Mus musculus: one gene and its partner. The protein of the gene in region 1 purifies or fractionates together with the protein of each later gene. This does not show direct contact. Links are inferred from orthologs where the notes say so. Each region holds a gene or a part of one and is shown in the gene's direction. Other genes may lie near its edges.

The links. The genes of interacting proteins can lie anywhere in the genome.
Region 2: the proteins of Bnip1 (region 1) and Nbas purify together in Homo sapiens (co-immunoprecipitation; 3 studies listed by BioGRID and IntAct, with this or other methods). This does not show direct contact. The link is inferred for Mus musculus from reciprocal best matches to the Homo sapiens genes BNIP1 and NBAS.

The regions. Positions count from the first base shown.
Region 1 is NC_000083.6:26,778,323-26,785,224, forward strand, and holds the start of Bnip1 (vesicle transport protein SEC20), read left to right. Parts: upstream 1-2,756; 5' UTR 2,757-2,770; coding exon 2,771-2,854; intron 2,855-4,944; exon of another isoform or gene 4,945-5,010; intron 5,011-5,122; coding exon 5,123-5,215; intron 5,216-6,902. UniProt on the Homo sapiens protein: As part of a SNARE complex may be involved in endoplasmic reticulum membranes fusion and be required for the maintenance of endoplasmic reticulum organization. Also plays a role in apoptosis.
Region 2 is NC_000078.6:13,267,848-13,273,342, forward strand, and holds the start of Nbas (neuroblastoma-amplified sequence), read left to right. Parts: upstream 1-1,279; 5' UTR 1,280-1,303; coding exon 1,304-1,417; intron 1,418-1,473; exon of another isoform or gene 1,474-1,647; intron 1,648-3,316; coding exon 3,317-3,371; intron 3,372-4,809; coding exon 4,810-4,846; intron 4,847-5,495. UniProt on the Homo sapiens protein: Involved in Golgi-to-endoplasmic reticulum (ER) retrograde transport; the function is proposed to depend on its association in the NRZ complex which is believed to play a role in SNARE assembly at the ER. Required for normal embryonic development.

The DNA.
Region 1 (6,902 bases):
TTGCCAGGCCAGTATTTGAAAGAATGCCCATGCAGAGGAAAGCAAGCTGTTTAAAATGTGAAAGTCAAAGATCTGAAGCTAGTCAGTGTAGAGGAGTTCAGAGACAGATACTGAACAAAAGGAGCAAGATTAGAAGGGATTCAGGGCTGGTGCAGGGGGTATGTGACTGCTCCTTCAAGACAGCCTCCAGCTTAGGGTTGTCTTACTGGAACAAAATGGCTTGGAAAGAAGAGAGATGGGGAGCTCCTTGCTTTGACTGCTGCAGACACAGCTGATTGCGTAGAAATTTCCCCAAGAAGGATGATGGGCTAGGATCCAAACACATGAGAACAATTTGTCCAGGGCTGACTGTGGGTTTTCTCCAGTGTCTTCAGTGGGGAGCTTTACCCAGAACATTGCAGTGATTTGAATGGCAACCTAGTTCTTTTAAAAGTTTTTCATCTTAAAATAGTGCTTGAATTAAAGAACAGAAAATGTACTAAATTGAAAGAAAAGTGTACTATGGAGAATACAGAAGAAACTTGAATGAAAACACACACTGGATTCCAGAGCAGGACCTGTCAACAACTTAGGAGTTACTGGCACTGAGTCACATTGAGAATGTGACTCCCATCTTAACAAACAAACCAAGAATATGTTAAAGTAGTGAGAGAAAAATAGGTGGGAAATATGTTGTAGTTGGAAGAGGATAAATCAAGTATTCAATCCTCTATCATACAGAAGTCTCTGTATAGAAACATTCAGAGCGTGAGTAGACGGGCAAGTAGAGTAGAGTTTGAAAGTAGTCTGGAATACACAGAAAAACAGGATGGTCAATGTGGCATCCAGAACCGAAGTGAAACAAACGGGGGGCCCTTTAGTGTTGAAGCCACTAAGTAACCTAGAAAGTGTGAAGCTGGTTCTGCGTCTCACACTGTGAACCACATATATTTCAAAATGGCTAAGCATACAAGTGGGTTTTTAAAGAATAAGCAGTAGACAGACACGCTGATCCTTGTAGAAGAGGAAGGACTTTTTAACATAGACCCAAGTCCAGAGTCATGAAGATCTCCCAATGCTATGCAAAATTATGGAAATTTAAATCCTCTTTAAGGCAAAAAAGCACCATCAGCAAAGTCAGAGTCTACAAATTCTGCAGCTCATGTGAATACTAATCTCAGTCTCATTCATTATGAGAGATGCAAAAGAAAGGAGTTTTTTTGAAAAAGAGACAAAATGATAACACCAGTGTCAGCACACCAAGCTGGTAGGGCTATAAGGAAATAGGCATTTCCACAGTTTTGCTCATGCAGTGTAAACTGATATAACCAGTATGACGAAACAGGCTTCACACCACAGTCCTGGCTGGCTTGGAACTCATGGGGATCTCCCTGCCTCTACCCCTTGAGTGCTGGGATAAAGTCATATGCTACCACACCCAGATAAAAAGGATATAGGAAAGCTTGTGTGGAGCTAAAATGCATGTCTAGTAGCTGCGGTGTTAATCAGTGCCTGTAATTCCAGCAGTTCTAGGTCATCCTTGGCTACATAGGTAGCTGGGAACCAGCTTGGGCTCTGTGAGACCCTGCCTCAGAAAAGCAAAGAAAATACTTAGGGCCTTTCACCTGTCCCGTGTGTTCTGTCATCGTCCTCCACCCCCTCTTCCTTCCACTTCTATAGCCTAACAAATCAAGTGCAGCTGCTGGGCAGAAGCATTTCATAGAAAATGGCCGCACGTAGGGAAGTAACTCCCAGAGTGTTTCTTAACAGTACATGTATAGCAACTAGTGAGCACTGAGTTCAATGCTACATTATCAACACCTCATTCCATCCTCTAGGTGACCTAACTTAGGAGTGATGCTACTGAGGAAACTGATTACAAGCCTGGAATCCAGGCCTTTGATACTTGCAGCCAGCTACTGAGCACCTTTTAGGAAGTGGGTGGTACAGGGTGCTTTGGGACAGGTAGGCGTGGAGACTGGGGGCTGTGTGTGCAGTTTGAGAAAAACATTTTAAAAAGAGGGAACCCATATCCAAGACGACAGAGCCTGGAGAATCCCGGAGGGTGGGGGAAAAGTGTCCAGTGGTGTTGAGGGCTTAAGAAATAATAATTTTAAAAAACACTACCCTTCTTTGAGGTTTGCACTGACATTGTTTCTATCACACCACACAGTCAGAACTACTCCTATGAGATACTTGGAATCCAATTCTACACAAAGGGCAGGACCAGAGCCATAGAAATGTGTAAGGACAACAATGCAGGATCATGGTTGTACTAATGGAGGTGCCCCAGTGACCTGTATTTAAGTCTGCACCTTTACAAGTTTTGTGTCTTCCTCCATAATGCATACCTACTGTATACATTTTGCTTTAAATTTTAAAGAAAAAAAATGTAACTTTGGTGACATCCGAATTGATCCTTTTTTTTTTTCCATCCAAAAGGTCACTAGAATAGCGGGTTGTTGTTGTATCTCTAGTACTGGGAACAAACCTGAAGGCCATGTGGCATGCCAGCCTATCATCACCTGAGTTGTATTTTCCCCTCCCCCCCACCCCAACTCTAATGGTTCTTCATAATCACATTCCACTTTTCCGTTTAGTAGGAGCAGACCAGAGAAGCTGTGCGTGTTCTACGTGACAAGAAAAGTTTCAGGTCTGGACTCTTGACCTGGTTTGATCCACACGGGGTCTCCCGCAGCATCACATTTGAAGAAGTACGGAAAGGCGGGCAGGAGCCACGTGAACGCGTTCAAGCTTGGCTGCTGCCGCTCGCCGTAGCCGCATTTCCAACATGGCGGCTCCCCAGGATGTCCACGTCCGGATCTGTAACCAAGAGATTGTCAAATTCGACCTAGAGGTGAAGGCGCTTATCCAGGTACAAATTCTTAGGCTCCTGTCCGGCTCTCGATGGCCGCCTTGACATCTTCCAGAATATTCGCGCCTGGTCCGGTTCCAGGATGGCTCCTAAGGCACCATTCGGTCGGTTCCCCGAGATCACTGACCTTCAGGCTTTTCTTTTGTGAACTGTTGGTTTGCCCACCCCTGAGTTACCCTAACACGCCGCTCCCTTTCCTTGGACTGCAGCCGTGCTGGGCTAGCCCGCCCACCCGCATTCTCGGCTGTAGCCCCGCCCCACCCCTCGCCCTGCTCGCCTCCCACGCCCACTTCCCTAAGTTAGGGACCCTGAGGCACCCAAAGCCACCTGGCCCGACAGTCCCTGCCCGAAGCTAACTAAGTTAACCTGGGACGTGGTTGTAATTTTTTGAACAAAGAATTCAAATATTGTGCAAGATCCTGGGTCAGAAGGCAGGCAGTGCCAGTATTAGGACCTGGATGGGGAAAGCCAGCCTAGGAAAATCATTTTAGAGCTTCCCTACCCGGAAACAGACTGGAAAATGAGGCGCTTATCTGGAAGCAGGTCTTAAGTAGGAGACAGTAGTGCAGGAACACAAGCAAGAACAGGGAATGTAGAAATGGCTCCAGAGTTTGGCAAAAAGAACCCAACCGGCTCAGAATACAAGCTGTGACAGCAAATAAGGAAAGGGTAGGGGTGTGACTCCGCTGGTGAGGACTTTGCCCAGCACTGGGTTCGCCATCCCCAGTGCTGCATAAATGGGCTGTGCCTAGCTGTTGGGGTAAGCTTGGCTTTACTAGCCCCTATAAAAAGGAGCATGGAGAGTAGTGCTCTCTGGTAAGCCAGATGTACACTCTGCCACATTAGCAGTTTATCCTGTGCTGTGAGGAAGTGTTGATTTTGTGAGTAAGCTAGAGAACAGGTAAAGAAACGCCGCAAACTTTACTCCTGAGATGTGCAAACAAAAAAAATGGGCCAATTCTAGAAAAATAAACAAGATTTATACAAGTGAGATTACCAGAGGCTGGGGGTAAATTTAGCTCAGAGTAGAGTTAAAGTTTAGCCATGTGCAAGGCTCTAGTTTCAGTCCTCAGAATGCACATGTAAATACATATACATACATAACACAGAGTTGCTAGGGTAGTGGCTCTAGCACTTGGGAGGCATAAGCAGGACCATCATGCATTTGAGGCCAGCCTGTACTACATAGAGTCTTCAAAAAAACAAAACAAAAAAACCCTTATATCCAAAATTTGAAAAGTTGGGTTTTCATATTATATCATAATATAAAATTATGTAATAGCATCATAATACTTCATATTATCATAGTTTCCTGTTAGGTAGGCCTCTGGTGACATATGTGTTTTGGGTTCTTATGGTTACTAGTGAGTAAGCATAGCCCCATACATTGTATTCTTTCAGTGTTCCAGCTATTCTGCTAAGTGTTCTACACAGAGAAATACCATCTTGACGTAGGTAAGGTGAAGAAATGGAGGCACAGAGAACTGAAGTTTTCCAAGACTGCACTAATAAATTGCTATACGCAGGATTTGAATATATGTAGCTTAAGTCTAGAACCTGCTCTAAAATTTGGCTCTCATAATTCTGACTTTCTTTCCAGAAGCAAATTCTCAGTTCATCTTTAAACGTTTTTGACTTGCGACAGATGGTTTGTAAAAATCAGACTAAATTAACTTTGTTACAGGTCACTAGGGATTTAGTTGGAAGGATCTGAACTTACAGTATTTTTTAGATGTCTATTTCTGTTGAACATGGAAGCTGTTTAAGCCTTTCCTAGTGGCACTTTGTTAAACATCTAAGACGAGGTTGAGGTTTACCTATCTACACACACAATGCATATGGAGTCTATGTGCATGCAGGGGTGTGTATTCATGTCTGTGTGCATTTGTGCATGCGTGCACATGAGTCTCTCTCTCTCTCTCTCTCTCTCTCTCTCTCTCTCTCTGTGTGTGTGTGTGTGTGTGTGTGTGTGTGTGTGTTTTGCTGCTGTTGAAAGCCAGGGCTCCAAGTATGCTCTGCAAGTGCTGTACTACTGAACTGTGCATCCAGTCTGTTTATTCATATTAGGCTCTCGGTGTTAATCTTACAAGGAATGAGGAAGCTGAAAATGAGGAGTTTGCTCTTGTGTGGAGGAGAGCAGCACTGAGCAGGACAAGGTAGAGCTTGGGCCACCTTAGCTGTGTCTGAATCTGCTTTCTCACTGTGCCGATGAGGACACTTCATTTCATTGACGGGAGAAAGGTCCCTCATCTCTTCCTTGCCTTCCAGGATATTCGAGATTGTTCTGGACCCTTAAGTGAGCTTACTGAACTGAATACTAAGGTGAAAGAAAAGTTCCAACAGTTAAAACAGAGGATCCAGGTAAGTGAGGCTACAAAGCCTGTTCTGGAAGGGTGGGTAGCAGGGGTGCGTGCTCTGGCCAAGAAGAATTTTTGCCTGAGAGTTGACCAGGTCCTTCACATGCCACCTGGAGAGAGTAGGAAACATTGTGACTGTGAGGGTGACTGGACTAACAAAGTTTGGAACCTACACACTCATTCATTCCCTACTTGAGTCCATTGCCAGAGTTTCCTTGGTGTTTCCGGTGCTATTATTTTGCACAGTAGTAGCCTCCTCCCGATTTCTGGAGTTACCGCCCCCACCTCATGCTCATGACCTCACTTTCCCTGTGGTGCGAGTGTTGTCTCAAAACACAAATGAGAAGGAAATGTGACTAACAGCCATCTCCACTGCTGTGTCCTAGGGATGAGTGCTACGAATCTGCCCAACACTGGCTGGGTCTAGAACCACCTGGCTTTGCTGCATCTGGTAAATGATATTGTCCCCAAACTGTCCTTCAACAGATACTGTTCCTTAGCAGATGAAGACAGTCTCTTCCAGAGCTGGCAGGAACGTAGGCAGAAGGAGAGCTTAGACAATGCTTCTGCCTTGAACTGACTTCAGAATGTCAGCACTGTCACTGTACCTGGGTGATCTCCATCTCCGCTATTGCTTCTTCCATCTGAACTTTTAAAAAGCATCTTGCTTTCTCTGCGTTATAAACATATCATATGTGCGGATGTATGGGTCCACAGCCATTGGTCTCCTTTATGTGTCTTGGGGATGTCCTTTATTTCTTCTCTGCACCCCTCCTTCTCCCAATAGGTAACTGTTCTGATCTGATCCTTCCACGTCTTCCCAGGGTTTGTTTCGCTGATATGTTCCCACTGTAGGAGTGGACATGCTGCAGCCTAACCATGTGGGGGGCATGTTTATACAGCTGTAGTTTTTTCTAGCCATTTCTTTCCTAACAGGTATCCATTTGGGCTGCTTGCCTGCTTTAATTCTTAGAGCTAATTCATTTTCTTAAAATGCCTTTCTTCAGACTCTGCAACTCTAAGGAAGACTGTCTCCTAAGTGCCCGCATGCTTACCTGGTGTTTATTTCCTTCCCTGGGTTTAGGTAAATGTTCTCACGTAGATTCACTCATTTGTCATGTTCTTACCCCTGCCTCCCTCCAGCCTCTCCTTCAGCATAACTGTGTGGCTGGCATCTGGCAGGGCGATAGGCCAGCGAGGGAGGTTTTATCTGCGCTTCCTCAGCATTTGCATGCCGTCTAGATCTGGAGACTCAAAAAGCACTGGGGCAAATGCTTTTTGTATTTCAGCAAGGCTGTATGCTAATAGGAGAGAACTGGCCTCCATCTTCCTACACAGTACATACATCGGGCAGGGCGCTGTGTAAACCTCTGTCTGCATGGTGGTCTGCTGCTGGAATTCGGCCACAGCACACTTGTATCTTTCCAAAGAGTCTGGGTTCTCTGACAACTGCCAAGCGGCCTTTTCTAAGGAAACTGTTTCTCTTTCCTCTCTTCTATCTCCCATCTTCCTTGTCATCCATTCTGCTTCTTAGTGACCCACTGCCAGGCAGAAGAGACCAGTGTAGCAAAAACTAGAATACAAGCTCTGTGTGCAGTGACGGCATTGTAGGGAATGGGGTGGGGTCTAAACAAAAAATATAGCAAATAACTGGTGAGATTTGCACTTTTTTTTTCTGAGACAGGATCTCA
Region 2 (5,495 bases), on another chromosome or scaffold:
GAGTGTGAACTTAGACAGGAACAAGAGTTCGGAGGGAAGGTGGCATTTAAACTACAACCGGAAGGAGATGAGAGAGCAATAGCAGAGCCACATCAGGTACAACCTCTGTGTACAAAGAACATCCGTGTCAGATCTCCTGATGTTTATGTGTGTCTGTTGTCTTAGAAACAGCAAAGTTGAATGGTGTGTGTGTGTGTGTGTGTGTGGCAAAAGTTTAGCTGTGAGAGTACAAGGTGCAGATGAACTTGGAGAGACATGGGAACAATTAGACACGCTCCAGTTGTGCATTTTATTATACCATTGCCTAATGCACTAAGTTGGTTATTCTACAGGATAATTTCTGAAAGGTATCTTGTGAATTTTCACTTCTTTTCAACTCAACAACAATGTGGTCGTCTTGGTCGTAATTGGCTCTGCTTACACTAAAGGGCCTTGCAAAGACAGGCATATGCTGAATGAATGAATGAATGAATGAATGAATGAATAAACGAGCAAGCAAATGAGGTAAGTTTCCCCTCTAGGGAATCCTCAAGCTGCCCTATCTTTATCGTCCTCCACACCCTTTCTCAGCTTGGCCTCTCTATTCACCCTGTCTGTTATAGCAACGTAATCTTCCTATGTCTTGTGCACCTCCTAACTGATATATTCTCTCCTGACTTCCAGTGAACCCAATTTCTACCTATAGTTGAAGGCCCAGGGCTGGGCCTGATGGCACATCTCTGTACTCTGAGCACTGGGGAGGCTCAGGCAGGAGGACTGGGTCTGAGGCAGGAGGACTGGGTCTGAGGCTAGTCCATGTTGTATGGTGATTTTTAGGACATCCTCTCTTACACAGCTGACAAGCTCTCCTTGTTACAGGGTGTCTTCATCAGCCTCACTGTTTTTTTCTAGGTGCCTAAAGCACCCTTCCTGTGAACTGAATAACCCCTTGGTACATTTAAAGTCCACTCTCCGAACACGTTCTGTGTTTGCAGAAGAATCTGTACATGAACACCAGCACTCTGGGAGGTTCTTGCAGCTTCGTAGACGCTGACTGGGTAAGAAAAGTTCAGTGACTTGACTCATTTCAGGCACAAATGAACAAAAAGTGGACCAGGGTCCAAGACATATCTCATACAAGACAAGGCCATTCTTAGACCCACAGATCTGTCAAGTTTAGCATTCCCTTTCTGTCATTTTTAGCATTCCCTTTCCGCACTTAATTCATTTCACTCTGCCAATCACCAGCGGCCGCGTCCAGGAAAGTATGACCCGCGCGAGTCGCCGTAGTGCCCCTCCCTCCACCACTCTGTTCCCGGCCAACATGGCGGCCCCCGAGTCAGCGCCGGCTTTGAGTCCCGGCTCTGCGGACGAGGAGGAGACGATTCTCTATGACTTGCTGGTCAATACCGAATGGCCACCTGAGACAGAAGTGCAGGTGAGCCGGGCTCTCTTTTTAAGGCTGTAGGCATGGCGCGGGCGCGGGCGCGGGGCGTGTAAAGCCACGTCGCGGTGCCACGCAGTGCAAGTGGAGCGGGGATAGCAGCTGTGTTGTCTCCTGGCAACGGCGGGGCTGCCGGGTCCAGGGCTCGCTGAAGGGTGTCTGTAGTCAGCCTTGGCTCCGAATTCGGCTGTGTATCCCCACTCAGGCTGTCACCCTCTCGGCAGGTCAGTGTCACTCTTCTTCCCTAGGTCCTTGTCATATCCGGACTTGCCTTGTAATCTTGTTACCTGTGGCGGGAGAATTTCGCAGGACTCTATCGTCCTTTAAAAGTCTCAGTAATACGCATTTACTAGTGTGTGTGTGTGTCTGTCTGTCTCTGTCTCTCTCTGTCTCTGTCTCTCTCTGTCTCTGTCTCTCTCAGTGTGTGTGTGTGATACACACACACACACACACACACACACACACACACACTCGGACCCCAGATATGGTGCAGGCTGCTGGGCATTCAGAGACAGTGTTTTCATGGAACTTGCAGTGTGGAGGAGAGATAGCCAATCCAGTGAACGTTTCTCATTACCAAGCCCGAAGTGCTGGCTGAGTAGAATGCCAAGGGAGTGGAGAGAAAGAAGCAGCGGTTCTCCAATTCTGCTGGAGACAAAGTTGTGGTGTTTGCCAACTTATGGACCCTGGAGTTACTAGTTTCCTAGGGAAAGCCTTCGGGTCATAGGGTGAAAGCAGGAGCCCAAGGCCCATTTACTTGACATACATGGTATCAAGTGCCTGGCATGCCCGTGTGTTAGGCCCTGGGGAAGCAGCATGGCTAGGAAGACTCTTAAATCTGGCCCAGTGAGCTCCTTTACCTTGTCTTCTGAGTATTTATTCTGCTTGTCTTCAATTAGGTCTTGTAATGGCAAAAAGCTGCATATATTGTTATTCGTTTCGGTTTCTAGTGAGTGACGTGGACATTTTGTAGATGATGAAATTGAGAGGCTGCTGCCGCCTTTAAGTTGGATAAAGATATCTAGCATTTCAGAAATGTCTGTAATACTGTCTCAATGCTTAGCACTATACGTTGATTAAAAAAACAACACGGAGTCAACTTATATTGAAATCTCGTTGTCCTCTGCCTTTTCTTATCTGCCTTCTTTATTGATTTCTACATCTGTTTCCTACAGCTGTTGCCCTATAAGCTCTGCCTGGGATCAACTTTATATCCCTCCACTGTGCCAAATTGTTCCCTGATGATTCCTTCATGTTTGTTAAGCGAGCGTCCTAGGGAGTAACGTATCTGTTCTTACTGATTACTTATTCATTTTATTCTTGGTAGAACTTGAAAGCACTCTACTCACTGTATTTGTTATTCTTTATTCTACAGACAGTGCCATTCAGTTTACGTTTGTGGACTCAAATTAATTACTGTAGTAGTTACATATCTGTGTTTTGTTAATAACATTGTCTCCATGGATACACAATAGGTAATCACTTTTCCTCTTAGTGAAATCTGTTTTAGGTCTCTGTGCCTGCCCTATAGACTGCATTGACTGGGCAATTAGTATTGTCTTTGTTCAAACCCAGGCCCCTGAACGTCATAGGCAAGTTCTCTACCACACAGCTCAGCTCTGCCCCTGTGGTTCCTTCTCTTTTCATTGGTGTTTTGATGTGGAAACTGTTTCTAACCTCACCTTGGGGTTCTTCCTGACAGGGATCTATGAACATAATTCTCACTCTTATTGCTACTACACACAGTTCATATTGCAACCTGTAAGAAGTTTTAAAATACTGATGCTGGTATTCAGTGCTCTGGATATAAGTAGAGAAGCATAAATTTAAATGTTTCAAGTATTATAAAATTCTCAACTGTAAGTTTTTATCTATTTATTTATTTTATTTTAGCTCAGAGGCAACCGAAAGCACGGTGCATCATTCATCATCACAAAAGCAATCAGAGGTAAAGAGGCCTTGCATTTTATGTATTATATAGTTCATAGACAGGTTTTTCTCCTTTCACAACTATGCACTTTACCTATGAACCAGGAGGAGTCTGAAAAAGAGTTGAGCATCAGCCTTATTGAACCATGAGGGCTTTATAATATTAATTAACAGATTGATATAGTTCTTCTAGGCTGACAAGTTAAGTGTTGTTTTATATTTATTTATTACATATTATATGTATGCATGTGTGTGTGTGCCTAAGTACATACATGCGTGTGTACCAGATGTGTGCCGGAACCCATGGAGATTTGAAGAGATGTAGAATCCCATGGAGCTGAAGTTATAGGTGTTTGTGAGCCATCATGAGTGTGCTGGGAGGGAACCAAACCTAGGTCCTGTGCAAGGGCAGCCAGTGCTCCTCGGCACTGAGGCAGCTCTCCAGCCCTCTGCTGTAATGGTTGGCTGTGGGGACTTGGCCACAGTGTTCTTTGGGAATGTAACTACCTGCCTTCGGGCCTTGAAGGCCGTCCTCAATTTACATCTGAGTTCCTTATGAAGAGAAAATTCAATTTAAAGAAATAGAAAATTTGTGGCTAGCTGTGATTTTATATAAGTTCTAATGTATTCAATTTTCATAATCATAAATGAAGTCTTGGTTTATTTAGAAAATATATATATAACTGATCAAAATAATTGTAGAAAAAACTGAAAGTATAAATACCGACATATTTTAATAGAATTTTCTTTATTTTGCAACTTAGAGATGACGTTCTTCAGACTTTTCTTCCGTGGTGTGCCTAGCTGCGTGCATGGAAGTGTGTGTGTGTGTGTGTGTGTGTGTGTGTGTGTGTGTGTAAGAGAGTGCATGAGAGAGAGAGAGAGAGAGAGAGAGAGAGGAGAGAGAAGAAAAAGGAGGAGGAGGAGAGTGTGAGAGTGTGATGATGTAAAACAGTTTTAAACCCTTTTAAAATTGGGTTTTCACAGACTTCTCCAGTTATTGCTTATATAGTTGCTACAATGTTCAAATTTATATCTTGATTTATATTTTGTATAGTTTTATTTTAAAGAGCAATTTACTATAATTTCTAGTAATGGCTTGATTTAACATCTCAAAACATTTTGAAATTTTGTAGTTGGGAAATATTTCAGTGTTTCAAAAACCATAAACTTGGATTTGTTTTGTTTTGTTTTTTTGAGACAGGGTTTTTCTGTGTAACCCTGGCTGTCCTGGAACTCACTCTGTAGACCAGGCTGGCCTCAAACTCAGAAATCCTCCTACCCCTGACTCCCAAGTGCTGGATTTAAAGGCATGTGCCACCACTGCCTGGCAAACTTGGATTTTAATATAAAAAGTTATATGATCTTGTAAAAGTTATAGTATATATTAAGTTGGCTTTATTTTATAAGTTGTTTACAAGTAACTGTTAAAGGACAAGTGTTTCTTTTTATTCTAGATCATCTGTTATTTTTGCGTCAGTACATCTGGTACAGGTGAGCCTTCAATTCTTACAAAGATTACTGTCTTCTGATTATTTAAGGGTTTGAATATCTGATTCTGGTGGAGATGTTGACATTCAGGCAAACCTGGTTTTTAGATTAGGATTTCAAGGATTTGGTGTAAGCTGATGCCACACACCTCAGTATACTTGCTAGTTCTTGTTCCCTTAGTCATTACTGATCATCTCCTGATGACCCCTGATTCCTCTGACGTGGGCTCAACTGCCTAGGAAATGCCCGTATGTTGGATCCGTGTGTTGTATGTGTCTTAACAACAAGAACAGTTTTACTCTTATTGTTACATCAGCTATGGTCAGTGGTTGAGTTGCTGTGTGTTACTTCTTCAGATTTTGCTTGTTGCATGCTTTTGAATTCTTTGAGTGTTGTTATGTTCAGCTGTGGTGCGAGTTTCAGCTCTGAAGGGGTGATGATATAAAACACTTTTTAAACCCGGTTTAAAATGTGCTTTTCGCAGACTTCTCCAGTAATTGCTTATATAGTTGCTACAATGTTCAAATTAATATCTCAATTTATATTTTGTGCAATTAGTTTTATTTGTACAGGGAAATAAGTAGTCTAATAAAGTGATAAACTTCTGCATTTGGCAGTGTTTGTAGTAGCTCTTTGCTAACCTTAAACTTAA